Linked DNA regions of Macaca mulatta. The protein of the gene in region 4 interacts with the protein of the main gene of each other region in a pairwise test. Links are inferred from orthologs where the notes say so. Each region holds a gene or a part of one and is shown on either strand. Other genes may lie near its edges.

Region 1 (3,500 bases), on a different chromosome or scaffold from region 4:
GGTGAGCCGTATTGTCTTCCCACACATGACGCCCCGAAGGAGCTCATCAACTTTTCCAAGATGGAGATGGTAGCCCCACTGTGCACTTGGCTGCCTGGCCCAGAGACCACTGGGGATTGTCCTCACCTCCTCCCTCCCCTTGCCCAGCGACCCCTAAGTCCTGTCCCCTTCATCCTGGAATCGCTCTTGGTTGTCTCAGAAACCCAGAAAAGAGAATTCCAAGGAAGTGGCAGGAAATCAGAGCAGGCTGAAGGCTGAACCTCAGAGCAGCACCACCCAATAGAATAGATGGCAAGACACACACATCACTTACAATTTCTTACTAAAGGCCGGGCACGGGGGCTCACGCCTGTAATCCCAGCACATTGGGAGGCTGAGACAGGCAGATCGCCTGAGGTCGAGAGTTCAAGACCAGGCTGGCCAGCATGGTGAAACCCCATCTCTACTAAAAATACAAAAATTACCCAGGTGTGGTGGCAGGCGCCTGTAATCCCAACTACTCGTGAAGCTGAGGCAGGAGAATTGCTTGAACCTGGGAGGCGGAGGTTGTGGTGGGCCGAGATGGCACCATTGCACTCCAGCCTGGGAGACAGAGCAAGACTCTGTCTCAAAAAAAAAAAAAAAAAAAAAAAAAAAAAAAAAAAGCTTGCTAGGCATACTTTTAAAGTACAGCAACAACATAGGAAAATTTAATTTTCATAGCACAGTTCTAAAAATCTGTTACATAAATTTTTATCATTTCAACATGTAATCAGCATAAAACATGATTCTGTGCGTTTCACTGACAGCCTGCCTCAGTTGGGACCCTCCACGTTCAGGGGGCTGGCGGCTACCTCACCAGGCAGCGCATCCCGGAGGTGGGAGGTGGCTCAGGGAGGTCGGGCCACTCATGGTCTCTATGTTTCCGTCCACCCAGCCGCCCCGTGGTGCCTCCTTTGATCCCGCCAAAGATCCCCGAAGGGGAGCGTGTTGACTTCGATGTAAGTGTCAGAGACCCCTCCCCAGGCGCAGTTGCTAGTCTTCAAGGGGCTTTTGTTTCAATCATGAAAAGGCGCCGGGCTGGGCCGCGGTGGCTCACGCCTGTAATCCCAGCACTTTGGGAAATTGAGGTCAGGAGTTCGAGACCAGCCTGCTCAATATGGTGAAAGCCCGTCTCTACTACAAACACAAAAATTAGCCGGGCGTGGTGGCGGGCCGTCTGTAATCCCAGCTACTCGGGAGGCTGAGGCAGGAAAATCGATTGAACCCGGGAGGCGGAAGTTGCGGTGAGCCGAGATCACGCCATTTCACTGCAGCCTGGGAGAAAAGGTCCCCACTCCCCACTCCCCACTCCCGTCTTTGGGCAGCTCTGTCTTTGCAAGAGCTGATTAGTGTCAAACACGAGGCATTGCTGCCACCTGCTGGACACCACCTGGGAAACGGTCCAGTTCACCGTCCTGCATGGGGGAGGCGCTGGGAGGCCGCTGCCCTCTCCAGGGTCTCCCAGGACTGACTCCCCGTGTGTCCTGCAGGACATCCACCGCAAGCGCATGGAGAAAGACCTGCTGGAGCTGCAGACGCTCATCGACGTGCATTTTGAGCAGCGGAAGAAGGAGGAAGAGGAGCTGATTGCCTTGAAAGAGCGCATTGTGAGCCGAGAGACCGGGTGCCCCCCAGTCTTCCTCTCTCTCCCTTGCATCTTGGGAGATGCAGATAATGGTTTTCCTTCTAGTACAGAGCTGAGCCTGAGGCTTTCAGGAATTCATCCAAGTCGGTGGCCACACTCCAGCCTGTTTATCTCCACTCTTCACCCACTCTGGGGAGGGATGACTGGGGGTACGTCCCTGCACCCCTTTATTCTTCTCCGTTCCCCAGGAGCGGCGCCGGTCGGAGAGAGCCGAGCAACAGCGCTTCAGAACTGAGAAGGAACGCGAACGTCAGGCTAAGCTGGCGGTGGGTGCCTGCCCTGCCCTGGGAGTCCAAATGTTACTTCTTCAGCCAGATGCCCATTTTGTTGTTGTTGTTATTATTATTACTATTATTATTATTTGGAACTGAGTCTAGCTCTGTCACCCCGGCTGGAGTGCAGTGGTGTGATCTCAGTTCACTTCAGCCTCCGCCTCCCAGGTTCAAGCAATTCTCCTGCCTCATCCTCCTGAGTAGCTGGGACTACAGGTGCTCCCCATCACGCCCGGCTAATTTTTGTATTTTTAGTAGAGACAGGGTTTCACCATGTTGGCCAGGATGGTCTCGATCTCCTGGCCTCGTGATCCACCTGCCTCAGCCTTCCAAAGTGCTGGGATTACAGGTGTGAGCCACCGCGCCCCGGCCTATTATTATTATTATTGTTGTTGTTGTTATTTTGAGACAGAGTTTCACTCTCGTCACCCAGGCTGGAGTGCAATGGCGCGATCTCGGCTCATTGCAACCTCCGCCTCCCAGGTTCAAGCAATTCTCTTGCCTCAGCCTCCTGAGTAGCTGGGATTACAGGCCTGCGCCACCACACCTGGCTAATTTTGTATTTTTAGTAGAGACGGGGTTTCTCCATGTTGGTCAGGCTGGTCTCGAACTCCCAACCTCAGGTGATCCGCCTGCCTCAGCCTCCCAAAGTGCTGGTATTATAGGCATGAGCCACCACACCCGACCTATTATTATTATCTATGTATTTATTTGGAGGCAGGGTCTTGCTCTGTCACCCAGGCTGATGTGCAGTGGCGTGATCCTAGCTCACTACAGCTAGGACCTCCCGGGCTCAAACGATTTTCCCACCTCAGCCTCCAGAATTGCTGGGACTACAGGCATGCGCCACTCTGCCCGGGTATTTTTTTTTTTAATTATTATTTCAATTTTTTTGTAGACACAGCATTTTGCCATGTTGTCCAGGCTGGTCTTTAACTCCTAAGCTCAAGCAATCCAGCTGCCGTGGCCTCCCAAAGTGCTGGGATTACAGGCATGAGCCACCGCACCCAGCCTGGATTCTCCATTTTCTTCTTTTTCCTTTTTTTTTTTTCGAGACAGTCTTGCTCTGTCACCCAGGCTGGAGCGCAGTGACGTGATCTCGGCTCATTGCAACCTCTGCCTTCTGGTTCAAGTGATTCCCCTGCCTCAGCCTCCTGAGTAGCTGGGATTACAGGCACCCGCCATCCGGCTTGGCTAATTTTTGTATTTTTAGTAGAAATGGGGTTTCTTCATGTTGGTCAGGCTGGTCTCGAACTCCTGACCTTAGGCGATCCACCCCCTTGGCCTCCCAAAGTGCTGGGATTACAGGCATGAGCCACCATGCCTGGCCATTATTATTATTATTATTATTATTATTATTATTTGAGATAGGGTCTTTCTATGTTGCCCACGTTGTTCCCAAACCCTGGGCTCACGTGATCCTCTTGCCTCAGCCTCCCAGGTAGCTGGGATTACAGGCACAAGCCACCTGCCTGTCACCCAGCCGAGAAGGGGATTTTGCAGATGTGATTAAGTTAAGGATCTTGAGATGGGACAGTTGTCCTGGAATATTTGTGGGGAGG
Region 2 (4,151 bases), on a different chromosome or scaffold from region 4:
ATAATTTTTTAAAAAGCCAGCTAGGCACAGTGGCTGATGTCTGTAATCCTAGCACTTTGGGAGTCTAAGACAGGAGGATTGCTTGAGCCCAGGAGTTTAAGACCAGCCTGGGCAACATAGCAAAACCCTGTCTCTACAAAACATATGAAAATTAGCTGGGTGTGGTGGCATGTACCAGCAGCCCTGGCTACCTGGGAGGCTGAGGTCGAAAGATTACCTGAGCCTGTGGAGGCTGAGGTTGCAGTGAGCCCAAATTGTGCCACTGCACTTCAGCACAGGCAACAGAGTGAGACCCTGTCTCAAATAAATAAACAAAGCCACTTCCTCAGGTAGCAGCAACAGGGTGGTAGTGGCTGCAGCAGAAGTGCTGCCACAGCTGGTTCCAGAATCTAAGCAGAAGGTGGAGGAAGATCATGCAGCTACTGAAGACGGAGCTGGGCAAATGATAGGCTTTCCCCAAGGGGGGGCTCTGAAGCTTGTGACCCTGCCCAGAAACTCTGCTGGAACAGTACAAATGGCACAGTCCAGATCCTATGTGGTATGTGCTCCCTTTGAAGGAAATATCACATAGAAACCTCAGAGAGCCTATATGTGCTTCTCATGGAGAAATCGATGTCTATCCCGCCCAGCAGGTTGAACTGAGCACCTCAACAGCAAATGGAGGTTAAAAGGCAGATCCTGGCTGGGCGTGGTGGCTAGAGAATAACTCCTTAGAGACTAGATCCTGGCGGTGGCTCACGCCTGTAATTCTAGCACTTTGCGAGGCCGAGGCGGGTGGATCACCTGAGGTCAGGAGTTTGAGACCAGCCTGGTCAACGTAGCGAAACCCCATCTCTACTAAAAATACAAATATTAGCTGCGCATGGTGGCAGACACCTATAATCCCAGCTACTCAGTAGGCTGAGGCAGGAGAATCGCTTGAACTAGGGAGGTGGAGGTTGCAGTAAGCCGAGATCGCACCATTGCACTCCAGCCTGGGCAACAAGAGTGAAACGCCATCTCAAAAAAAAAAAAAGGCAGATCCAAGTATTTGCCTTTTCTTAAAACTGCCAGAGCTCAAGAGGAAAGAATAGAGTGAGGCAGACAGAATAATTGTCAAGTATTCCCCACATAATTCCTTTGTAGGAGGTACTGGGTTTGCTATCCAGGAACTTTAAAAGAGCAGTTCCATTGTGAAGACTTCCCTTTTTGTCCCCAAACATAGAGCTTTAAGCCCTCCCTGCCCCAAATACACCCACAGGTCTCTCTACTCTGCCCTGGATTGGCTCTGTGTGGCCCTCAGGGCATGTTCCCCAGACTCTCTCTCTGACTGAATTCCTATCCAATACTTGCTGTCTACTTCCTGTCTCCCTCTCAGTCTTCAGTTTCTACCTAAGTGCTTGTTTGGATCTCAGGCTCTAGGTGCAATGTGAAGGGGAGTCCCTGGGCAGACTGATTCCTGGCTCAGACAGTTCAGTGGGGGAATCCCAAAGGCCTTTTCCCTCCTTCCTGAGCCTCTAGGCAAAGAGGGAGGGATCTTGGTTTCAGGGTCTCAGTACCCCCTGTGCCATTTGAGCTGCTTGCACTCATCATCTCTATTAATAACTAACTTCCCTCCCCCACTGCCAGTGCTGCCCCCACGCCTGCCCAGCTCGAGTTCTCCGGTCACAGCAGCTCAGTCCTCCAAAGCTGCTGGACCCCAGGGAGAGCTGACCACCGCCCGAGCAGCCGGTAAGTCTGCAGCTCTATCGTTAGAAAGGTTGGAGCCCACTCTGTTGACTTCTATTTCTGTGTCTACAATTGTGATTCTTGATCCTGGGGGAGTCTCCCCTCTCCTCATCTATGCTCAGCTCCCAGCTGTCCAGTTGGAAGGAGGGGGCCCAGGAGTTTGGGGGGAATGGAGATGTCGGGGGAGGCACTGGAAGAATGGGAAGGGAGACCCCACTAAGTCAGTAGAGTTGCAGATGTATTTTTGTGAGACAGGACTTAGAAGAGGACAGCATTTCACTGAGTGCCAACTTCTCTTAAGAAGGGACTGGAGTCTATCTTATCCCAGTTTGTCCCTTTCCATTGCCAGATCCTATTACTATGTTTCTGCCCCACCCCAATTCCCCACTGCTATGATATTGCTGAATTTACATGTGTCGGGATTTGGATGCTCCCTACCCTTCCCAATTCCACACCTGCCCCACTCTGGGGTCTGTGGCGGGAGTGATTGCAGGAGCAGGGCCATGACTTCCCAGGCCATGTTCCAGCTGGCCTGATGAAGGAGCAACAACCTCTCCTTCCTATGGAGAGTGTTTTTGGCTGAATCTCTTCAACCCTGGCAGAACATTTCTCTGTCCTCCTGGGGACTGGGGGAAGACTGAAGAGAGACCAGAGCCTGGAATCACAGTCCCAGTCTGATATCCCAATGCAAATAAAAACTTCAAATCATGCCAAGTTGATGAAACCTGGGTGCATTGCCCTGCCTGTATTATTGTTTGTTTGTTTGTTTGTTTTTTTTAAAACACTCCCTACCCCTAGCTATGTTCCTAATTCTTGCACTGACTCTATAAAAAACAGCTCACAACAAGTTGGTAGACAATAGGGGCTGGTGTGCATCTATACTTCCTGTCCTGCATCCCAGGAAAAGAGAAGCCCTAAAGCGCTAGTTTTCACCTTTTGGGGAAATACATACTTCTTTGAAAATCTGGATCAGGCGAAGTGGCTCGCCCCTGTAATCTCAGCACTTTGGGAGGCAGGAGGACTGCTTGAGCCCAGGAGTTTGAGGCCAGCCTGGGCAACGTGGCAAAACCTCATTTCTACAAAAAAAAAAAAAATTAGCCAGGCATGGTGATGCACACCTATAGTCCCAGCTACTCGGGAGGCTGAAGTTGGAAGATCACCTGAGCCCAGGGAGGTTGAGGCTGTAGTGAGGCATGATTGTGCCATTGTGCTCCAGCCTGGGCGACAGAGTACAATCCTGTCTCTAAAAAAGAAAAAAATATGTTTTTGTGCCATTGCACTCCAGCCTGGGCGACAGAGTGAGATCCTGTCTCTAAAAAAGAAAAAAATATATTTTTTTGTCCCCTCAAGCCCTTAAACCCAGGTTAAGAAGTAGTGCTCTCCTACAGACACTCACTCTTCCCAGTCCCTGTCCATCCTCCAAGTCCTCTTTCCCACCCTATCCAGGCTGAATCCACCTCCACAATGCCGCTCTCAGGAACCCCGGCCCCTAATAAGAAGAGGAAATCCAGCAAGTTGATCATGGAACTCACTGGAGGTAGGACACGTTTGCATCTACCTAGTGTGGGACTTCTTAAGAGCATCCCTAACCCAAGAGTCCCAGAAATATATATCTTAGGGTGAACAGACAAGAGAAATTAACTGGTGGGAAGGCGGGTGATGGAGAGTGGGAGAGGGAAGGGTAAGAAGGGTAGGGAGAAAGAGAGAAAAGATTCAACACCTTCTACCCTTTTTACTTCATAATCTGAGACAATACCCTGCCATGTTACCCTGCACAGGTCCAGGACCACAGGACCCATGAGTCAGTGAGGTATATTTGAGGAAGAAAATATAATGGAGACTGGCACAGACTCAGGTCTCAATAAGTGGTTAATTTCCCTTCTTTCCCCAGAGCTAGGGAGCTTATGTAAGTACTTAAAATGGAAAACTGCACAGGCATGTTTCCTGGGGAAGAGCAGGGGTGCATGCATGTGAAGAGCTCTTCAATACTTAGAGACTCTTTGGAGCCAGAGCTCACTGAGGGAAAGAAAAGGGAAAGTAGTTAAGACAGAAGTCTGGGCCAGGTGCAGTGGCTCACGCCTGTAATCACAGAACTTTGAGAGGTCAAGGCTGGTGGATCGCTTGAACTCAGAGATTTGAGACTGGCCTGGGCACATGGTGAAACCTCGTCTCTACAAAAGTACAAAAATTAGCCAGGTATAGTGGCATGCACCTAGAGTCCCAGCTATTCCAGAGGCTGAGGTGGGACGATTGCTTGAACCTGGGAGATGGAGGCTGCCGTGAGCTGTGATTGCGACACTACACTCCAGCCTGGGTGTCAGAGTGAGACTCTGTCTCAATATAAATAATACAAATAGGGCTGGAGCTGTGTCTCACACCTGTAATTCCAGCACTTTGGGAGGCTGAGGTGAGAGGATCACTTGAGCTCAGGAGTTCAAGACCAG
Region 3 (4,133 bases), on a different chromosome or scaffold from region 4:
CTGTGCTGTTCCCTCCTCTGTGACCCTCTTGAAATATCACCTCCAGGAGGGTAGGGGTTTTGTGTTTTGTTGTAGCCTCAGGAAGTGCCTGATCGATTATTGTTTTGAGACCAGTTCCACTTAGTTTTCTGGGCCTCAGTTTCCATAACCATGAAGGAGACCCTTGCCGATCTGAGCTTGCTGGGAAAGGGCTGGGCCCCGTGTAACATTTCTAAAGCACCCCTCTCCCCTCCTCCCTCAGATCAGGAGTCTGGGGGAGAGGCAGAGAGGCTCCCTTTCTCTAAGCCAGTCCTCACCTGCCTAAGAAGATACAAAGGAGACCCAGGAGACCCTGGGAGAGGGAGGAACCCGGAAGGAAGGGACATTCTTTTCTTCACAATCCTGGGAGCTCCCTGGAGGAGGAGACCCAATCAGCCTGCAATCTTGGCGCGTCCCAGGAGGAGAAAGCGGCTTCCTCTATACTGTACCCGCCTCCATAGAACCTCCCTCTCAGCCCTGGAAGTCCTTGGTCACAGCCGAGGCGCCCAGAGTGCTTGCTATGCCCAGATCTGCGCGAGTCTGGCACTGGCACTCTGAACCGCATCGCTGCCCAGCCCCCTTCCCCGGGAGGTGGGAGCAGCCACCCAGGGCCCCGTGGCTGCCCTTGTAAGGAGGTGAGGCCCAGGGACACCCGAGACGCCCAGTTATAATTAACCAGGACACGTGGCAAAGCCCCCTCCAACACCTGCCCCCGAACCCCCCCATACCCAGCGCCTCGGGTCTCGGCCTTTGCCGGGAGGAGACAGCAAAGCGCCCTCTAAAAATAACTCCTTTCCTAGCGGCCGAGACCCTCCCTGTCCCCCGCACAGCAGAAATCTCCCAGTGGCACCGAGAGTGCAAGGGTTAAGCGGGGGGAGGGTGACCACCGCCTCCCACCCTTGCCCTGAGTTTGAATCTCTCCAACTCAGCCAGCCTCAGTTTCCCCTCCACTCAGTCCCTAGGAGGAAGGGGCACCCAAGCGCAGGTTTCTGGGGTTAGACTGCCCTCTATTGCAATTAGGCTTGGTCAGACCCTCCCTATAGGTGGTGGCAGCAGGCGGCCACGCAGCCTCTCCCGGCCTCTGCTTCCTCCTGCTCACAGGGTCCCGGGTCCTCCTGGAGCAACAGCATGGCTCCCCCAGGTGCCGCTGGGACTCGGGTAGGGGTGAGGGCCCAGGGGGCACAGGAGGAGCCGAGGGCCACAGGAGGGGCTGGTGGCTGGAGGAGACTCAGGGGCCAGGGGAAGGTGGCTCTACGTGCTTGGGACGTTCCCAGCCACTGTCCCATGTTCCCGGCGGGGGGCCAGCTGTCCCCACTGCCAGCCCGACTCAGCACTTGGTCAGGGTATCAGCTTGGTGGGGGGGCTTGGGCCCAGCCCCTGGGGCAGCTCAGCCCATACAAGGCCATGGGGCTGGGCGCAAGGCATGCCTGGGTTCAGAGTGGGCATGGTGCCCGAGCAGGGAGGTGAGAGGCTCAGCTGCCCTCCAGAACTCCTCCCTGGGGACAGCCCCTCCCAGCCAATTGCACAGCCTAGGTCCCCCTATATAACCCCACGGCTGCAGGCCCTTCCTTTGGGTCAGTGTCACCTCCAGGATACAGACAGCCCCCTTCAGCCCAGCCCAGCCAGGTACTGCACGGGGTGGGAATCTGGGTGGGAGCCAGAGTAGGGGATTTCTGTGGGTGCTAGAGGCTGTCTTGGCTTGGGAAAGGGCCTGTGTGTCACCCCTTGCTCCACCAACATCCTCCTATACAAAGGCAGGTCGGTGCATGGGAAGGTTGACCTTGTGTGTCTGGGAGTCCCCTCCATCTGTGAGGACGCCTGAACCCCCGCTGGGACCTGTGATTTCTGCGGCACAAGTCTTGGGTTATGGGGAGGGATCCCAGAGATGAAAGGGGTCCTGACAGCTGCCAACTGTCACCCCCTGCAAGGGGCTGTTGAGCCAGGCCCGCGTTCATTACGGTTTGTCGCCAACACTGGCGCCACAAGCCGTGGGAGGTGTGTCTGTCGCCTAGCAGAGTCTGCAAGAGCAGGTGTCACGGGCTTCTTTGCGTTTGCTACCGTGTAGGTCTCTGTGACCTTGTACTGACTTGGTAGCGGACACATGAGTGCCTCTATCTTGGGCGTGTCCTTGAGCTTGGAAGTGTGACTGTGTGACTCAGTTTACAGTGTGATCTGGGGAGTCTGTGGTGGTGGGGGTATGTGGCTCTGAGGCTTTCTGCTTATGTCTCTTGGGGGGGGTCCCCCACCTTGCCTCAGGGCCCTCTCCTGGCGTGTCCCTGGCAGGGACTGGGGGGGGCATCCTCTGAAGGGAGGGGGTCTGGGCTGCCAGCCCGGGATGTCCTTGAGCCCCGGAGCCGAACCCCGGGGCCTGGACCCGTGTCCTCCCAGCCACCCTGGCCCACCTGTCTTGGGCCTGCTGACTTGGTGCAAGCCGAGCCCCGGAATGTGGGGGTGGGGAGGGGCAGCAGCTGGGGGTGGGGCGGCAGGCAATTGCCAGAGTCTAAAAATAACCACCCTGGACAGCAGCGCCCAAGGTCTTTGGCGGGTCCCTGTTCCTCTTCCCTGGCCTCAGCTCACCATGGTCCCAATTTCCCTCCCACAATCCCACCTGCTTCCTATCCCCCTCTCCCACCGCTGTTGGAGGTCCCTTCTCCTTTATGGGTCCAGTGAATAAAATAATAATAACAATAGGACCTGGCGCAGTGGATCACATGCATAATCCCAGCATTTTGGGAGGCCGATGCTGGAGATCACTTGAGGCCAGGAATCCCAGACCAGCCTGGGCAACATAGTGAGACCTCATCTCTACAAAAAAAAAGTAGTAACAACAATAATAGCAGCCACTAGGGTTCCAGGCTCCAACTCCATGCCAGGGCCTGTGCTCAGCCAACCTCACGGCCAAGCTCAGAGGATCCTGGCAATCCTATGGGGTAGGCTCAGTTCACAGGAGACAAGGTCCAGAGAGGCCTAGTGACTGGCCTGGGGTCATACAGCAGGAAAATGGCATAGGTGGGATTTGAACCTGGCTCTGACGACCCAGAGGCTGAGTTTTTCTTCCCTGCTGAACCTTGTGGGAGAATTGTCAGCAGGCAGAGGTGGGGGCGGCCACCCAGCCCTCCCCCGACCCAGCCCCTTTGTCTTTGGATTGATCATCCAAGAACTGCTCACATACTCACTTCCAGCAACACCCTCACCTCCACCTTCTCACCAGCTCCTCACACAAACGTTTAAAATAACAACAGGCCAGGCGCGGTGACTCATGCCTATAATCCCAGCACTTTGGGAGGCAGAGGTGAGCGGATCACTTGAGGTCAGGAGTTCAAGACCAGCCTGGGCAACATGGCAAAACCCCATCTTTACTAAAAATACAAAAAAAAAAAAAAATTACCTGGGTGTGGCGCACGCCTGTAGTTGCAGCTACTTGGGAGGCTGAAGCAGGATAATTGCTTGAACCTGGGAGGTGGAAGTTGCAGTGAACTGAGATTGCACCATTGCACTTCAGCCTGGGTGACAGAGAGAGACTCCGTCTCAAACATAATAATAATAATAATAATAATAATAATAGCTAAGTGAAATAATGCTTATTGTGAACCAGGCACTGTTCCGAGAGCTATACCTGCATTCACACATTTAATCCTTTCAACACTGCCATGCGGCGGGTGCTGTTAGGATCCTCATTGTCCAGCTGAATAAACTGAGGCACAGAGAGGTTAAGCAACTTGCCCCCGGGCACACAACTGGTTGTAGGTAGCAGAGCTGGGAATCAAACCCTGGGCCGATTCCAGAACCTACGCTCTTACCCACGCATGATATTTTTCCAGCCTCCGTGTGGGGCCTATTTTCCACCTGGGGAAATTGAGTCTCCAAAAAGAATGACTAGTCCAGGCTCACCCAGCTGGGATGTGGCAGAGCCGGGCCCTCGATCTAAGACTCCTGATGCCTCCTGCTGAGACGCAGGGGCTGGGAGAGAGGATTTCGCTTGCTCCAAGTCACACAGCCTGCCTGACCCCAATGCCTCTTGCTGCTGTTTGCAAGATGTGAGGTAGGCGGGGCACAGTGGCTCACGCCTGTAATCCCAGCATTTTGGGAGGCCGAGGTGGGTGAATCACTTGAGG
Region 4 (3,500 bases):
GGTATCAATCCAAAAACTCCTAAACCCTGAACTCCCCAATCCTAACCACCTTTTCATACCTAATGTCTAGCACAAAGCCTGGCCCACAGGAGAAGCCTAGAACATTTTTATTGAACTGAACTATGAAGTCTTATAACTGAGGCTTTTCTGTCCTCCCCAACAAGCTCTTTGAGGGCAGGGCTGTGTCTGGTTTATCTCCTTGTATTCCACCTCAGTGCCTGGCCTACAGTAGGGGCTCAATTAATAGTCCGTAGATGGGACACTGTATTTTGCAGCTTACAAAGTCATTTCATAAATATCCTCTTATTTGATCATCATAAAATCAGTAAGAGGAAGGTGGGGGGTGTTACATGCCCATTTGACAGATGAGGAAACTGAGGCTCACAGAGGTTTAAATGACTTTTCCAAGGGTCCATGGGTGGTCAGTGGAGAAGCATAACTGGAACCTTAGAGCTGTCGAGTTGAACTGACCCCACCCAGACCCTTCTAGTCCTGCTCACCAAGAGGAAGGTGGCTCCCCCAGGCTCGTCCAGGGACTGGATGGCCGTCTCCACCAGCTTTGTGGACTTGTCCAGCTGTTCCTGGTACTGCTGGATGAGGGCCTCGATGAAGCTGAGCTTTTCCTCCTGCTCCTGCGTGATCCGCTGCAGCAACTCACTTTTCTTCTCATCCAGGATGGCATACAGCGTGTCAAATTTCTGGCTCAGCTCTTCCTTTACCTGGTGACTGTTCTCCTGAGGACGGAAGTCTTGCAGTCACATTCTGTAGGGTCCTTACTCCCTGTCCGCTACACTCCCTTCCTGGTACAGTAGCAAGGAATCTAAAGCTAGAAGAGATCTCACTACATACATCCCCACACTACAGAAGATGAAACAAAGGCTTAACAAGAAGAAAACACTCATCTGGCCTCACAGCTACTTAGTACACCAGTGATATTTGGAGGCTGATGCCTTGAAAAACAGCTAGCCCCTTCTTCCAAAATAGAGGCTCTAGGGTCACATGACATTACATATTCTTCCTTGTTCCTGCACCCTCCCCCTGTCCCCCAACCTCAGCTGGTCACTGGAGCATCACTTCTCAGACCAATGCAACAGTCACCAACGTGGGATCTGCCCTCTCTTTCTCTTTTTTTTTTTTGAGATGGAGTCTTGCTCTGTCACCCAGGCTGGAGTGCAGTGGTGCGATCTTGGCTCACTGCAACCTCCACCTCCCAGGTTCAAGTGATTCTCCTGCCTCAGCCTTCTGAGTAGTTGGGATTACAGGTGCGCCACCACGCCTGGCTAATTTTTGTATTTTTTAGTAGAGATGGGGTTTCACCATGTTGGCCAGGATGGTCTCGATCTCCTGACCTCATGGTCCCCCCACCTTGGCCTCCCAAAGTGCTGGGATTACAGGCATGAGCACTGCGCCCAGCTCTCCGTTGCCTTTTAGCTGTGTTTCCCTTTTAGCTTTGTGACTTTCAGCAAATGAATGTATTTGCTTCCATTCAGTTTCCTGGGCCTCCCGTTTGTCTCAGATCACACTCTTCCCTCCCTTTCAAGACCAAGACTGGATTCAGGAAGCTCTGCATCATTTGGTCCTAGGAGAGGTGGAAAAACAGCTCGTTTCCTAGCACCCTCCTCAACTGACGCTCCCTTCTATGTTCTTTTCTGTAAAATGGGTGTGACAATAGCATCTCATCAGACCCAGGAGCCTCTCATGGGTTCATGGGTGATCAGAATGTTCCCCTCCTTCCTACCCTTCGCCCGACTCTTGGTCCACTAGCAATTATGACGACCCCTTCCCCTCATCTCATCTCCAGGTCCCTACCCCAGGTGAACATGGAAAATCATGGAAGCTTTTTTCAGGGATAGAAAAGTTCCATTCTGCCCTCAACAGTCTCACTACTCAAAGTGTGGTCCGTGGACCCAGCAGCTTGGGCAAATCCTGGGAACTGGCTAGAAATGCAGCTCTTATGCCTCATTCCAAACTGACTGAATCAGAACCTGAATTTCAACATGATCCCAGGGTGATTTTCATGCACTTTAAAGTTTGGGAAGTGTTGGTCTATAGGAAAGAACGGTGCTCTGAAAACAATTTGTGCTGAATAAACACTGAGAACTATTGATGGGACACTCCCTGAGTTCAGGGACCATGTCTGTCTGGTTCATTCCTCCATCCCCCACATCTCGGGTGGGGCCGGACACACAGCTGTGCTTAAGAAGCATTTGTTGAGAGAGTGGGTGAATGGATTAGTCCCTCCCCTGCCATTCCTGCTTGACCCCCAGGCTCCAGGCCCCAACCTTTAGCCACAACCCATGGGTGAGCCTTCCCCAGAGACCAGGCTGCCCTGGAAAGCTCCAAACCCCCAGGCAGAACTATTCTGTCCCCTCACCTTGGTCACTCGACAGGAGTCCTCCAGCTGAGTGATGATGGTCTGCACACGGTCATTCCCCGCCACCAGCATGGAGATACAGTTATTCAGTTCAATCTAGATGGGGGTGTGGGGGTCAGGAGAGGAGAGATACAAATAGCCTCAAGGCCTACCCACCGGGGCATGGCAGCAACCTGGCTCCCTCCCTCCCCTCTGTGCTAGAAAGAGCCTCCAGCAGGGATCTGGCCCCTCTTTCAGGTACTGCTCAGCTTCAGAGCAGAGGATATTAGAAAGATACTGTATCCCTTATTTAACAGATGAGGCCAACAGCAGGCAAGTGGGCTGCCCAAAACACACAGCAAGGAACTGGCAGAGGAGGGGCTTGCTTCTAAGAAAGAAGGGGAAAAAAAAAGAAATAGAGTTGGAGACGTCTAGAAGACAGAGACCTGGAGAAGAGTGCGGAGTGGGGAAGAGAGAGTATGGAAAGGGGGTGGCTACTGCTGACTGCACGGACAGGGTGGCAGGCCCCCACAGGCCCAAGGCCCCAGCGAAAAGGCTCTAAGCTGCCTCCTGCTGCTGGGGAATGCGAAGTCTAGGAGAAGAGGTGAGAGGCACAGGAAGTGGTATCTGGGGGATGGAGAAGCCGTGGCCCGAGAGGACCCCAGTGGCCTGGCTGGGGCGTCTGACCGCTCCCCTCTGGCCACAGCCAGGTGCTCTCGAGTGGCTCTAAGTATAACCATGAGCTCAGCTTCCTCCCCCAAGGAGGGCCAGGGCTGCTGTCCCTGTGGCCTGGGAAGTCCCTCCAGAGGGACTATTCCTGAAAGGCCGGATCAGCAGATCTACAGGGATCAAATCTGCCTTCTGAATCATCCTGCCCAGCAGGCCCAGGCTGGGGGTAAAAGTGGCTGGAGCCAGTACCTTTTGTCCCTGGAAGACACTCTGCAATGGGGCCACCTCGCAGGCCTTGTGGACCCCAAACACCTTGCACATGGAGCAGGTGGGCACCTCACACGTGAGACAGTAGATGTTGATTTTCTCATCTTCGTGCTCCTTGCACATGGGGTGACTGCCCTTCTGCAGCGGCCGACTGCAGTGGAGAACAGTCACAAGTCATGGGGGTCCTGTGTCCTGCATCCCCCTCCCCAGC
Region 5 (4,162 bases), on a different chromosome or scaffold from region 4:
GTTGGACCTGCTCCGCAGCGGCGACATGAAGGACAGCATCTGGTGGGTGGACAAGGACAAGGGCACCTTCCAGTTCTCGTCCAAGCACAAGGAGGCGCTGGCGCACCGCTGGGGAATCCAGAAGGGCAACCGCAAGAAGATGACGTACCAGAAGATGGCGCGCGCGCTGCGCAACTACGGCAAGACGGGAGAGGTCAAGAAGGTGAAGAAGAAGCTCACCTACCAGTTCAGCGGCGAAGTGCTGGGCCGTGGGGGCCTGGCCGAGCGGCGCCACCCGCCCCACTGAGCCCACAGCCCCCGCCGGGCCCCGCCAGGCCTCCCGGCTGGCCATAGCATTAAGCCCTCGCCCGGCCCGGACACAGGGAGGACGCTCCCGGGGCCCAGAGGCAGGACTGTGGCGGGCCGGGCCTCGCCTCACCCGCCCATTCCCCCCACTCCAGCCCCCCTCCACATCCCGCTTCGCCTCCCTCCAGGACTCCGCCCCGGCCCCGGGAGGCCACCTGGGCGTCAGACCCCACCGGGGCAACCTTGCTGAGGACGACCCGGGGTACTTCCTTGGGAGTCTCAAGTCCATGTGTAAATCAGATCTCCCCTCTCACCCCTCCCATCCATTAACCTCCTCCCAGAAAACAAGTAAAGTTATTCTCAATCCATCCTCTTGCAGCACGGAGTCTCTTTTAAAATTTGTTGTACACCTCTTCTGGCCCGTGTGTGCTGCGACGTCTCTCTTTTTGTCATTTGTCCATCGGGTGTTTACTGAGGACTGTACCCAATGCTGGACCCTGGGAACATGAGGACCAATGACACAGGCGCCTGACCAGGAGTTAGAGTTTGGTGGAAAGAACAAGTCCTCGATTGTGATGAGGGAAACAGATCCTATTTAAAAGCTCTCTACTCCTGGTGGTAGTTGTTGGTTTTAAGCCTTGATGAGGTTTGAACTCATTTGATGATGATGATGATGATGATGACCATAGCAACAACATTGGATTTTCTGGTCAATTAGTACCTGCCAACCTTGAGATGTGGAGTCTAATATCACTCTATAGAATGGGAAACTGAGGCTTGTAGAGGTCAAATTATTTCCCCAAGGTCACAGCCGCTGAGTGGCCAAGTTGGATCACACTCCAGGTCTGTCCCCGACACGTCAACATGGAGTAGGAGGCTTCGCTTATGTGGAAGAGGATACTCTTCAGCATTCCAAGGACAGGCCTTAAGCCCCAAAGCTCCTGTGGGTCACACAGCATTCTCATGAGCTGCACGCCTAGCAGGACTTTAGACCCAGGTGAATCCCTGGTGGGACCCCCAGGGTCTGTTTGCTTTCCAGCTCCTCGCCACAGCAGGGGAGAAACAGACCGAGCTGAGCAGAGAAGCCTGTGAGTCCTGTGTTTTCCTTCAAGAAGTGGCAGTAGACAGCACGGGAGTGAGAGGCTTCCCAACGCTGTCAGACACCTCAGGGAACCCAGATTCTGGGGTCATCACCGTAGCGGCAAATGCCCCTCCACACCTCCTCACCCTCAGAGGGCTCACTGCAGCCCAACCCTGCAGCTCCCTAGTCCTACTTCAGGGCCACAAGAGAAGGCAAAATGGTGTTGTGTCTTCATTATTCTATTTTTATTTTTATTTTTTTTTGAGACAGGGTCTTACTTTGTTGCCCAGGCTGGAGTGCAGTGGCACGAACACGGCTCACTGCAGCACTGACCCCCTGGGCTCAAGCGATTCTCCGGCCTCAGCCTCCCCAGTAGCTGGGACGACAGGTGTGCGTCACATGCCTGACTGATTTTTGTATTTTTTGTAGAGATGGGGTTTCATCATGTTGCCCAGGCTGGTCTCGAACTCCTGAGCTCAAGTGATCTGCCTGCCTCGGCCTCCCCAAAGCCTCCCAAAGTGCTGGGATTACAGATGAGCCATCACACCCGGCCTAACATTTTAAAAATTATAAACCAACCTCATACGTGTGACAATCCTGTGCAGTGGGTGCTGCTATCACCTGCCCTGCTTTACAGATGAGGAAACCAGGTGCTTTGAGATTAAAGAGATGGCAGTGCCAGGACTCAGAGTCACCCTGGCCCCACGGTCTGTGGACATGACCACTGCCTGAACTGCCCGCAAGGATGCTCCTGACCCGTTAGCCTTAGGGTTATGGGCCCAGCATGCTCCCACCATACAATTTGCTGTAAGAGGGACACACACAGGGCTAGGGGGTACCCCTGAGACTCGCCAAGGGTTGGGGAGGCAGAATTGTGCTGAGGGGGGTGGAGGGGAAGGGACAGGAGCCAGCCAGGGACAATGTGGCCCTACCTTCTCCCTGGAGAGACCTCAGCTCTCTGGAATCTATCTATATTTAGCAGGTGGCTGGACAGGAGGCAGATAAGCAGAGCCTGGGGAGGGGGGAGGTCCCCATATATAGTGGGAAGGACAAGACCCCACTCAGTCCCTCTTTGGGTGACCTGTGCCTGCTTGGTGCCTGGTGTGACGTCTCTCAGGATGCCTGAGCCGGGGAAGAAGCCAGGTAGCTTTAGGACTAGGGTTGGGTCTAAGTGGGGGAGCAGGGGGGTGTCCACAATTGGGGAGCAGGGCTAGGAGGGAGTTCTTGAGGGGGCTGATGAGGACGTGGCCTCTGAGCCCCAGGACAGGGGCAGCCAGTCCTCGGGGGTCCTTTTTGATTCTCGGTTTCTTTTTCCTATCCCTCTGACGAGAGGTGAAGGTAAACCCAAGGTCAGGGACACAGACAGAGGACGCAGCCGAGACAGGAAGCACCCGGGGTCAACCCATTCTGAGAACGCAAAGGACCCCTTCCCTGTCCCATTTCCCTCGCCTTCCACAGCAAGGTTGCCCGCAGACAGAGCCCGTGTTTAGTGTGGAGCTGAGCCAGGCTCACGGCATGCCTTCGGACCAGCCTCTACCCACTCTGGGTCTCAGTCTCCCAACCTGGGGCGCTGGGGGTAGTGGCGGCGTTGGGTTGGTTCCTCCTGGCTGTGACATTATCTGCTTCATGAGCCTATATGGTGTGGCCCCCATGTTGAGGGTGACACAGCCCCTCCTTCTCTGAGAGAAGACAGTCGGGAGCCCCAGAACCCAGGCCAAGGGCAGGGAAAATCACAGCCCAGGGTCCTGGGCCTGGGCTATGCCCTTACCAAGGTTGTCCAGGGCAGAGATCCAGGTCCCCATCCCCCAACGCCCTCCTAGGCCAGCTTTATCTCAGTTGCTGATTCTCAGCCTGAGGTCCTTGGAGGACAAATTTGGCCACATTCCAAGCAGGCAGAATTCCCCGCCCCCTGCCAAGGGCCCCAGATGGTGGGGGGAAGGGAAGTCGAGTCCATCACGGGTGTCTCCAAGCAGGGAAAGTGGAGTATCCAGGGGACACATGCAGCAAAAGTCTTGCGTGGAGGTCAGGACCACAGCCCTGGCTCTTCCGGCTACTAGCTGTGTGATCTTGGAGGAGCTGCTTAGCTTCTCTGAGCCTCAGTGTCCTCTGAGAAATGAACAGAATAACTGCAACTACCTAGGAGAACTGGTGGAGTATTACACGAGGGGATGCGTGGAAAGTGCTAGCACAGTATTTACTAAGAGGGGCTGCAGGGGTGGGGTGCACGCTCCAACCAGGGGCCGCTGTAGCCTCCACCTGGCCCTACAGTCTCAGCTTTCAGCAAGAAGCCACGGTCAGTGGAAGTGGCCGCAGGCAGCCCTGCCGTGTTTGAGGTGGAGACAGAGCGGGCAGGAGTGAAGGTGCGCTGGCAGCGCGGAGGCAGTGACATCGGAGCCAGCAGCAAGTATGGCCTGGCCACAGAGGGCACACGGCATACACTGACAGTGCGGGAGGTGGGCCCTGCGGACCAGGGCTCCTACGCAGTCATTGCTGGCTCCTCCAAGGTCAAGTTCGACCTCAAGGTCACAGAGGCAGGTAAGATTCTGGTCAGGCTTCCCTGAGGTTCAGGCTCCTGGGGGGAGGGACAGCCCAGCACCTCTCTATCCATCCAGGGAACAGGAGGTACTTTCACACTTCCTTGCCTTTGCTGTGGCTGTGCCCCCCGCCAGGAATCCCCTTTCCCCCCTTTCTTTACATGACCTCTCTGAGTACCCCAGGTGCCATCCTGGCCTGTTCCAGCCATGGGGTAGGTGGGAGAGATGAACAAGACACAACCCCAGTCTCCCCTTGCAGACC
Region 6 (2,843 bases), on a different chromosome or scaffold from region 4:
TGCAGGGGTCACAGAGAGGAACCTGACCCCTAGCACCTCCAACCTTCCCTGGCTTCCAGGGCAGGGAGGGTGGGTCGAGACACAGCCGAGGATTGATTCTGCTTGGATTCAGAACTGAGAGGCAGGTTAGCTTTGAGGTCACTGACCCTCTTCACACCCTGAGGCAAAGCCAAGGACAGTCCTGGCACCAGCCCCTCTATATTCTCCACGAGACATCGTTGAAACAAACTCTGGATGCCAGCTGGCTTGCTGGGTACCACCCAGTGCCAGGGGGCTGAACACAGAAGCCAGGACTGGACATGGGTCAGGGTACGGGAAGGAGACTGGAGACAGCACTCTGTTTATAGTTCTGTCCTGGCCTCCCCACCCCAAGTATGGGGCGTACTCATTAGCTCTGCCATATTTAGCTCAGATGCAGAGCCTGGTCCCAGAAGTGGGCACTGGGGGGACACCCATGGGCCAGCCCCGACAACCACAAGGAAAGAGACGCAACTCTGGCACATGATTGAGCATTTATTGCGGCACTAACAGAAGGTGCTGGGGGCCCCACCATCCTTGCCTCTGCCCTCTTCACCTCCCCCTCTCTCCCAGCTTCTTCTGCCTAGAGCATTCCAGATTCCCCTCACATTTTCCTGGATCAGGGCCACTCCTCCCAGGCACCTCTTGCCCTCACCAGTATCTTTTGTCCCTTCTCCTGGGGCTGAGGGTCCTCAGCTGTGCTGGCCCCCAACTCTCCACCCTTAGTGCCCACCGTCTCTGCCACCCTCCCTTTGGGAACTCAGGGGGCTCAGGCATCCTGGCCTCTGGCTCCCTCCTCCCCTAACCCCCAACTCTGGGCAAACTACAAAGCAGCCATGGCCAGCAGCTCCCCTCCACAGTCCTAGCCAGGAAGGGCCCAGCCCAGGGCGGGCACAGCGGAGCCCAAGTCACAGTCCCTCTCAGCCTCTCTGTGCTTCCTGGGACATGGAGCGGGACAGGGAGCGACGAAGGGCACCGGGCTTGCTGACAGGCACCACAGGGGGCAGCTGCTTGGTGATCTCAGCCACCTCCTGGCGGTCCACACACTGGCCACCCAGGGCTGTCTCCAGCGCCAGCAGCTCCTGCAGCTGGATGGGGGTGTCCTCGCGCTCCTCCTTGGTGGCGCCCATCTTGGCAGGGGTGAAGATGGGCAGTGGCAGTACCCGCTGGTAGGGCAGCTGGTACTCCTGCAGCCCACGGCCGAGGATGCCCATCCGCATCACCAGCCAGGGCGAGCGCTGCACCAGCGCCTGGCACTGCCCCTGCTGGTGGTAGGTCTCATGTCTCTGGGTGTCCTCCTCATGCAGGGAGCAGCTAGGGAGAGGGGAGGGGCAGTGAGTTCTTGGGAGCTGTTGCTCTCCGGGAACAGGCTGGGTGGGGGGCTCCCCAGGGCTGCTGGGACCTGGGAGCGGGAGGGGTGGTTCCCCTTTGCTCTTCCCATGGGGCATTCTTCCTTCCCCCACCCCCAGAAATTTCTCCAGGGCTTCATGCTCTGGCCTCAGGGCTCAGTGAGGGTGCTTTGGAGGAGCAGAGGCAGGACTCTGGCAGACCCACACTCACCCCTCCTCAGGCCGTGTGGACAGTGTCAGATCCTTCCATTCTGCCCAGAAGGCCTCCCGGCGCTCACAGTTCTCCTCGGACACCTCGCAGCTCAGCTCTGAGGTAGCCATGATCACTCCTCACTCCCTCTCCCCTCCCAGGCCCTTTAAATAGCCCCCTCCTCCCCCTTCTCCAGGGGCTATTTTCGGCCCCTCTGGTGTCAGATGCTATAAGCAGAGCCAAGACTCACTAATGGGGGGACGCCGGACCCAGGGCAGGGGTTAGGGTACCTGGACGCTGGCTGCTCCCTGGTCAGAGGTCTGGGGTTCAGGGCCCTATGCCTCCAGGTGCCTGACATTACTCAGACACCGTCTCAGGCCAGCCACATGCCCAGCCTCGTGCCCCCCTGGCACTTGCCCTCTGCCCCACCCACTCCCCTTTGCAGGGAGGACAGCAGCTTGTCTGTAAACAGAACAGGACCAGCAGGAACTGATGCCCCCTCTGGGCTCTGTACCAGGGCTGCCAGGTCCTGCCCTGGCTGTGCTCTCCTCTGCCTGGGCTCAAGGGCACATCCCCAGAAGGGACAGTGCAACCACGTCCTCAGGCGCCTGCACCGAAGGCCTAGTGCCTCGTCCCCAGTCACCCTCACCACACCAGCAGGGGCAGAGGAAGTCAATTCCATACCTGGGAACCTGGGGCATAAGCTTTGGTCAAGTGTTTTCCTTCCCCACAGCTGGTGGTCAGATAAGTGGTCTTAGGAGACAGGACAGTAGGGGTGGAGGGGGCCTCCAGTTCTACCCCAACACCCTGTGTTGGGTGAAATGGAAATCCAGGGGCTCTGATGGATGACAGAAGGCCTGGCTCCAGCTCCAGATCAGCCATAAATAGCCTGTGTGACCATGTGTCAGTTCCTGCCCCTCTCTGGGCCCCTTTCCCCACTTTCTGGCCACTACAAGAGGACCAGAAGACCTCTGGAGCCTGCCAGCTCTGATGTGCTACCTGGGAGGGGACTGGCTCTCCTTCATGGGGAGCAGGGGAGACAGATGGCTGTGGGGACAGTCCAGCACCCCAGGAGTGGCAACTCATGGTCCAAGAAGCTGGCACACAGGTGGTAGGCGTGGGGGGATGAGTGAGAACATTGCCGAGTGGACAAAGCAAAGGGCAGCAGGAGAGGCAGTGACAGGGGCTGAGCTCAGGACCCCGTGGGGACAGCAGAGTACCCAGGAGCAGGTAAGGCCCATGGGCACCCACCTGGGTGCAGAATTGCAGACTACTGATTACTGAGC
Region 7 (4,200 bases), on a different chromosome or scaffold from region 4:
CTTCTTTGTGTGTCTTGCTTGGTCACCCAGGTGATCATAGCTCACTGCAGCCCCTCCAACTCCTGGACACAAGCCATCCTCCCACTGCACCCTCCAGAGTAGGGACTACACGTATAAGCCACCACACCTGGCTAATTTTTCTTTTTTTCTTCCTCTTTCTTTCTCTCTTTCTTTCTTTCTGTCTGTCTGTCTGTCTGTCTGTCCGTCCCTCCCTCCCTCCCTCCCTTCTTTCTTTCTTTCTTTCTTTCTTTCTTTCTTTCTTTCTTTCTTTCTTTCTTTCTTTCTTTCTTTTTCTTTCTTTCTTTCTTTTCTTTCTTTTCTTTCCTTTCTTTCTTTCTTTCTTTCTTTCTTTCTTTCCTTTCCTTTCCTTTCCTTTTCCTTTTCCTTTTCCTTTTCCTTTTCCTTTTCCTTTTCCCTTTCCTTTCCTTTCCTTTCCTTTCCTTTCCTTTTTTCTTTTCTTTTCTTTTCTTTCCTTTCTTTCTTTAATAGAGACAGGGTCTCACTATGTTACCTAGACTGGTCTTAAACTCCTAGCCTCAAGCAATCTTCCTGCCTCAGCCTCCCTTGGTGCTGGGGTTACGGGCATGAACCACCGCACCTAGCTGAGTGGATTGCTTTTTAACCTTACAATTCACTGCTGCTTTTTCTCTCCTTGATTCCAAACTGACCATATTACTAAACTAGATATTAATTAAGGAGTGATTGTATGTATATGTTTGTGTGGAATATATGTTACAGGCTGCATTCCAGAGCCACTTACAAATTTTTCTGTTTTTATTATGTATTTTTAAACAGAATCATACCCTATAATTCTGTTATTTTTAGATTATACTTTCTAGTTGTTGGTCTTGATGTGCTTTTAATTATTTAGAGTTTTACTTTTTATTATTTGTTTAGTATGTATTTTAGACTAATTTTGTTTTTTGGTCTTTTTTTTCTTTTTTTTCTGCCACACCTTTGGAGATCTCAGATAGACTAATTTTGAAATTGATTTTTGCTGTTTTACTTTTTCTTTTCAAATGGCAAACAGGACGCATACAAGTAAATAAGACACGTATGAATTTAGTCTATACCTTACCAAGAAAAGACAGGTGCCATTCCTCCTGCTTAGCTCTGTAGTGGCCCTCCTGCCTTCCTACAGTACATCCTCATTTTTTCTTAGATGAAACATTTGCCATGAAAATCAACCTTGAAGGATTGTATTTGCCTCTGATTTTTTTCCATTAGTATGGTAAACCTAAGCAGAACTATATATAGACATTACACACAAAGACTAGCCTTATAAATTGTTTTAACACTAATCCTGTTTTCATTGAAAATATCAGATAAATTGATTCAAAATACATTTGCCTATTTTGTTTCACATTGTATAAGCCAATACTGAGATAATGACAAATCAAACTTTTAACGGAAAAATTAACCAAATTGTTTGTCATCATTGAAATGAAGTCTTGTAATTATTTTAGTTACTGTCTTGGATAAAATGTTAATAAAACTTTTCCAGACCAAAGAGTTTCATCGTAAATAATAGGATACTTTCAAAAAATAGTATTTCAAGGTTGCCTATGTAGTTTAGAGTTAAATTAAAACTAGCAATTTTAGGAAAAAACAGAAATGCAACTAAGCAGCCAAGTGAAAGACGCTATTGAAAAAGAATACTTAAAAAGTTAAATATTCCTTAATTTCAAGTTTATGAACACAAATACATTAAACTAGAATGCATTTTAGAAATGAACTACTTTAGGCATTTTAAATTGCTGGGGAAAAACATCCTGCAGGAGGGCCTTGAGTAGATCTTAAAAAAAAAGTCTATATCAAGACAAGTAGTTTTGTAGTTATCGGTTTATTCAGTCTGTTGCAGAATTGAATCCAGAGTTTGATTCCTAAATTTCTTTCTGGGCAGGTACATTATTGAGGCTCATTTCAGATAGCAAGGAATAAACCAATTATGAAATAGTAGATATTTTCCAAAAGCAGTTCCCTTTTTTTCTTTACATATATTTTCAGAATGTCAACTGTCTTGTACATGTTGATATTGGCCTACATTGTTAATAATTAGCGATATTTTTAAAAGCCTAATTAAAAATATGTTATTTCATAAGTTTCATTTTATCCATGTGTCAACAAAATTTTATACAGACATTTACACAGGTAATTCTGTAAGTCTTTTCTTTATGTTTGTAGTTACTGTTCAACAATTCTATAGTAGATTCTGTTATTTGACAGTATAACTTTATTCCAAATAATGTTAAATGAATTTCAAATATTTTTATAAATAAAGTAGTATTCAGTCTCCTGTTTTAAAAATCTTAACATTTTTTTCCTATCTCTAATATAGCATAGATTTGCACAGAGGACTGATAGAGGATATGTTGCATTCATAAGATATCACCACAATTACATCAGATCAAGTGTCCCTTTTCAAGGAAAAATGGTGATTTAAAAATAATGAGACGCAGCTGTCTTTCCTTCTATCATTTGTATAATGCCTTCCAGGCTCAGTGAAATGAATGAGTCGTTTTCTCTTTAAATCTTCATGTAATATCATTATAATGTTGTGGCTTTGAAACTTTTTATCTGAAAATCATCTTTGTATACACTCATCTGATTTGGACAGAAAACAAAAACAAGACCTAAAAGTGTAGTAGGAATAAAGAAGGGACTTACCCGTAGTTCCAGAGGGTGCCAGCGGGGTTTAACCCACTATTGAAGGGAAGGAAGAGGCATCTCCTTCCCTCACAGACTAATCTAGTGGCTCTGTGCTTAGTATTATAGCACCACTGACTTTTATCAGCTGCCAAACAGTGACATCTGATGTGCTTGCCTGTCCATCTACCTATGCTGGCATGTCAAAGTAAGAGTCCACAATCTAAACAATATCTCAGATGTCTTAGTGATATTTAAGGAGTGGGATTACATGAGCTTCTTTTCAAGCCTCTTTATTTTAGACGTGAATTTTGACTATGAACTTTAGCAAGCTCATGTGAGGGAAGGGCGGTGAATAGGGAAATGGGAAAAATAGAAAAAAACCCTCTTATTTCTTTATTATGGTGGGGACTTTGAATTTTCCCAATTTAAGAGACAGGACTAAAAGGGAAATAATATTTCAGGAGTGGAGTTCATCTATCTATTATACTAAGACTTCCCCAGGAATAAGACCAGTGGTAGATGGGCTCCAAATTGATTTGTATTGCATAATTCTTCATCTGAAGTCTTTTTTTCTTTTGCCTAATGAGAGTAGGATTCAATAATAGATTTGAGATCTCTCAGTACTAGCAATTTGTTCCAAGGTGAGGGCAGTCTGCGCAAAGCAGGAGACCAGGGTCATAGTGACATGTCACTGGCAAGGTAGGGAGGTGGAAAAACATGATTGTGTTTCTTTAGCAAGTTTTCTGAATCCATATGGCATATGCCCCTTTCGCCTAGTACTTTTATTCTAAAAGAGTTTTGAAACAAGAAACAACCAAACAAATAAGCAATCTATATAATTAGGGCTGTCAATGTATGTTCATCTCCCTTTACTCCTAAGAGTTATATAGTTTCCTTTCACTTTTTGTCACGGAGACCATCATGGTATTTAGGTTTCCATTTTTGTGCAGGGAAGTAAATAATTGCAGAAGAATAAAATGTTGAATAAACAAACGTGGTGAAGTAGGGTAGGTGGCATGAGGATCCGGCCAATGGAGTAGAATTATCTCCATGGGGTGGCTTCAGTTCCCCTCCCTCATGAGTAGATACCCCAATCTTGATTGAATTAACATGTACATTAGGGTCCAGCAAATAGATGTTTAAGCACATATGAGCCATGTAAAATTCTTCACAGCTGACCATGTAGGTGTACCTTTCTTTGGTGTTCAAAGAAAGTTTGATAATTTCTGCCTGGGCGCGCAGCCCTTAGTAGAAAAAACATGCTAGACTTGGTGAGTAGGTGGTTGCCTACAAAGTCTTATTTCAGGAGTCTCCCAAAATATTCCTTAACATCTGTTCACTGATATTTCAAATTCCATTAATAGAGACAAAGCCTTTCCATCTAAATTAGAGAGACTTAAAATGCAAATGCAAGTGATAGAATAATAATAGCCAGTATATAGCATTTATAATGAGTAAGACACGCCTTCAAGCATTTTATTTTATTATTAGTTTTTTTTTTTTCAGAGGCAGGGTCTTACTCTGTCACCCAGGCTGGAGTCCAGTGATATG

What was found.
Region 1: the proteins of TRIM63 (region 4) and TNNT1 interact in a two-hybrid assay, tested with the Homo sapiens proteins (2 studies listed by BioGRID and IntAct). The link is inferred for Macaca mulatta from reciprocal best matches to the Homo sapiens genes TRIM63 and TNNT1.
Region 2: the proteins of TRIM63 (region 4) and MYOZ1 interact in a two-hybrid assay, tested with the Homo sapiens proteins (2 studies listed by BioGRID and IntAct). The link is inferred for Macaca mulatta from reciprocal best matches to the Homo sapiens genes TRIM63 and MYOZ1.
Region 3: the proteins of TRIM63 (region 4) and CKM interact in a two-hybrid assay, tested with the Homo sapiens proteins (2 studies listed by BioGRID). The link is inferred for Macaca mulatta from reciprocal best matches to the Homo sapiens genes TRIM63 and CKM.
Region 5: the proteins of TRIM63 (region 4) and MYBPC3 interact in a two-hybrid assay, tested with the Homo sapiens proteins (2 studies listed by BioGRID and IntAct). The link is inferred for Macaca mulatta from reciprocal best matches to the Homo sapiens genes TRIM63 and MYBPC3.
Region 6: the proteins of TRIM63 (region 4) and TCAP interact in a two-hybrid assay, tested with the Homo sapiens proteins (3 studies listed by BioGRID and IntAct). The link is inferred for Macaca mulatta from reciprocal best matches to the Homo sapiens genes TRIM63 and TCAP.
Region 7: the proteins of TRIM63 (region 4) and MYOT interact in a two-hybrid assay, tested with the Homo sapiens proteins (2 studies listed by BioGRID). The link is inferred for Macaca mulatta from reciprocal best matches to the Homo sapiens genes TRIM63 and MYOT.

The regions. Positions count from the first base shown.
Region 1 is NC_133424.1:67,454,997-67,458,496, reverse strand, and holds part of TNNT1 (troponin T, slow skeletal muscle), read left to right. Parts: intron 1-841; coding exon of another isoform or gene 842-916; coding exon 917-980; intron 981-1,511; coding exon 1,512-1,628; intron 1,629-1,854; coding exon 1,855-1,932; intron 1,933-3,500. UniProt on the Homo sapiens protein: Troponin T is the tropomyosin-binding subunit of troponin, the thin filament regulatory complex which confers calcium-sensitivity to striated muscle actomyosin ATPase activity.
Region 2 is NC_133414.1:75,910,093-75,914,243, forward strand, and holds the start of MYOZ1 (myozenin-1), read left to right. Parts: upstream 1-1,351; 5' UTR 1,352-1,710; intron 1,711-3,153; 5' UTR 3,154-3,171; coding exon 3,172-3,244; intron 3,245-4,151. UniProt on the Homo sapiens protein: Myozenins may serve as intracellular binding proteins involved in linking Z-disk proteins such as alpha-actinin, gamma-filamin, TCAP/telethonin, LDB3/ZASP and localizing calcineurin signaling to the sarcomere.
Region 3 is NC_133424.1:57,842,517-57,846,649, reverse strand, and holds the start of CKM (creatine kinase M-type), read left to right. Parts: upstream 1-1,333; 5' UTR 1,334-1,644; intron 1,645-2,504; exon of another isoform or gene 2,505-2,654; intron 2,655-4,133. UniProt on the Homo sapiens protein: Reversibly catalyzes the transfer of phosphate between ATP and various phosphogens (e.g. creatine phosphate).
Region 4 is NC_133406.1:214,956,506-214,960,005, reverse strand, and holds part of TRIM63 (E3 ubiquitin-protein ligase TRIM63), read right to left. Parts: intron 3,441-3,500; coding exon 3,272-3,440; intron 2,471-3,271; coding exon 2,375-2,470; intron 735-2,374; coding exon 501-734; exon of another isoform or gene 483-500; intron 1-482. UniProt on the Homo sapiens protein: E3 ubiquitin ligase. Mediates the ubiquitination and subsequent proteasomal degradation of CKM, GMEB1 and HIBADH.
Region 5 is NC_133419.1:18,245,413-18,249,574, forward strand, and holds the start of MYBPC3 (myosin-binding protein C, cardiac-type), read left to right. Parts: upstream 1-1,362; 5' UTR 1,363-2,286; coding exon 2,287-2,509; intron 2,510-3,634; coding exon 3,635-3,901; intron 3,902-4,162. Other genes in the region: SPI1 (transcription factor PU.1), read left to right, coding at 1-286. UniProt on the Homo sapiens protein: Thick filament-associated protein located in the crossbridge region of vertebrate striated muscle a bands. In vitro it binds MHC, F-actin and native thin filaments, and modifies the activity of actin-activated myosin ATPase.
Region 6 is NC_133421.1:64,014,218-64,017,060, reverse strand, and holds TCAP (telethonin), read right to left. Parts: upstream 1,710-2,843; 5' UTR 1,689-1,709; coding exon 1,579-1,688; intron 1,333-1,578; coding exon 939-1,332; 3' UTR 501-938; downstream 1-500. UniProt on the Homo sapiens protein: Muscle assembly regulating factor. Mediates the antiparallel assembly of titin (TTN) molecules at the sarcomeric Z-disk.
Region 7 is NC_133411.1:146,725,692-146,729,891, reverse strand, and holds the start of MYOT (myotilin), read right to left. Parts: upstream 2,801-4,200; 5' UTR 2,668-2,800; intron 1-2,667. UniProt on the Homo sapiens protein: Component of a complex of multiple actin cross-linking proteins. Involved in the control of myofibril assembly and stability at the Z lines in muscle cells.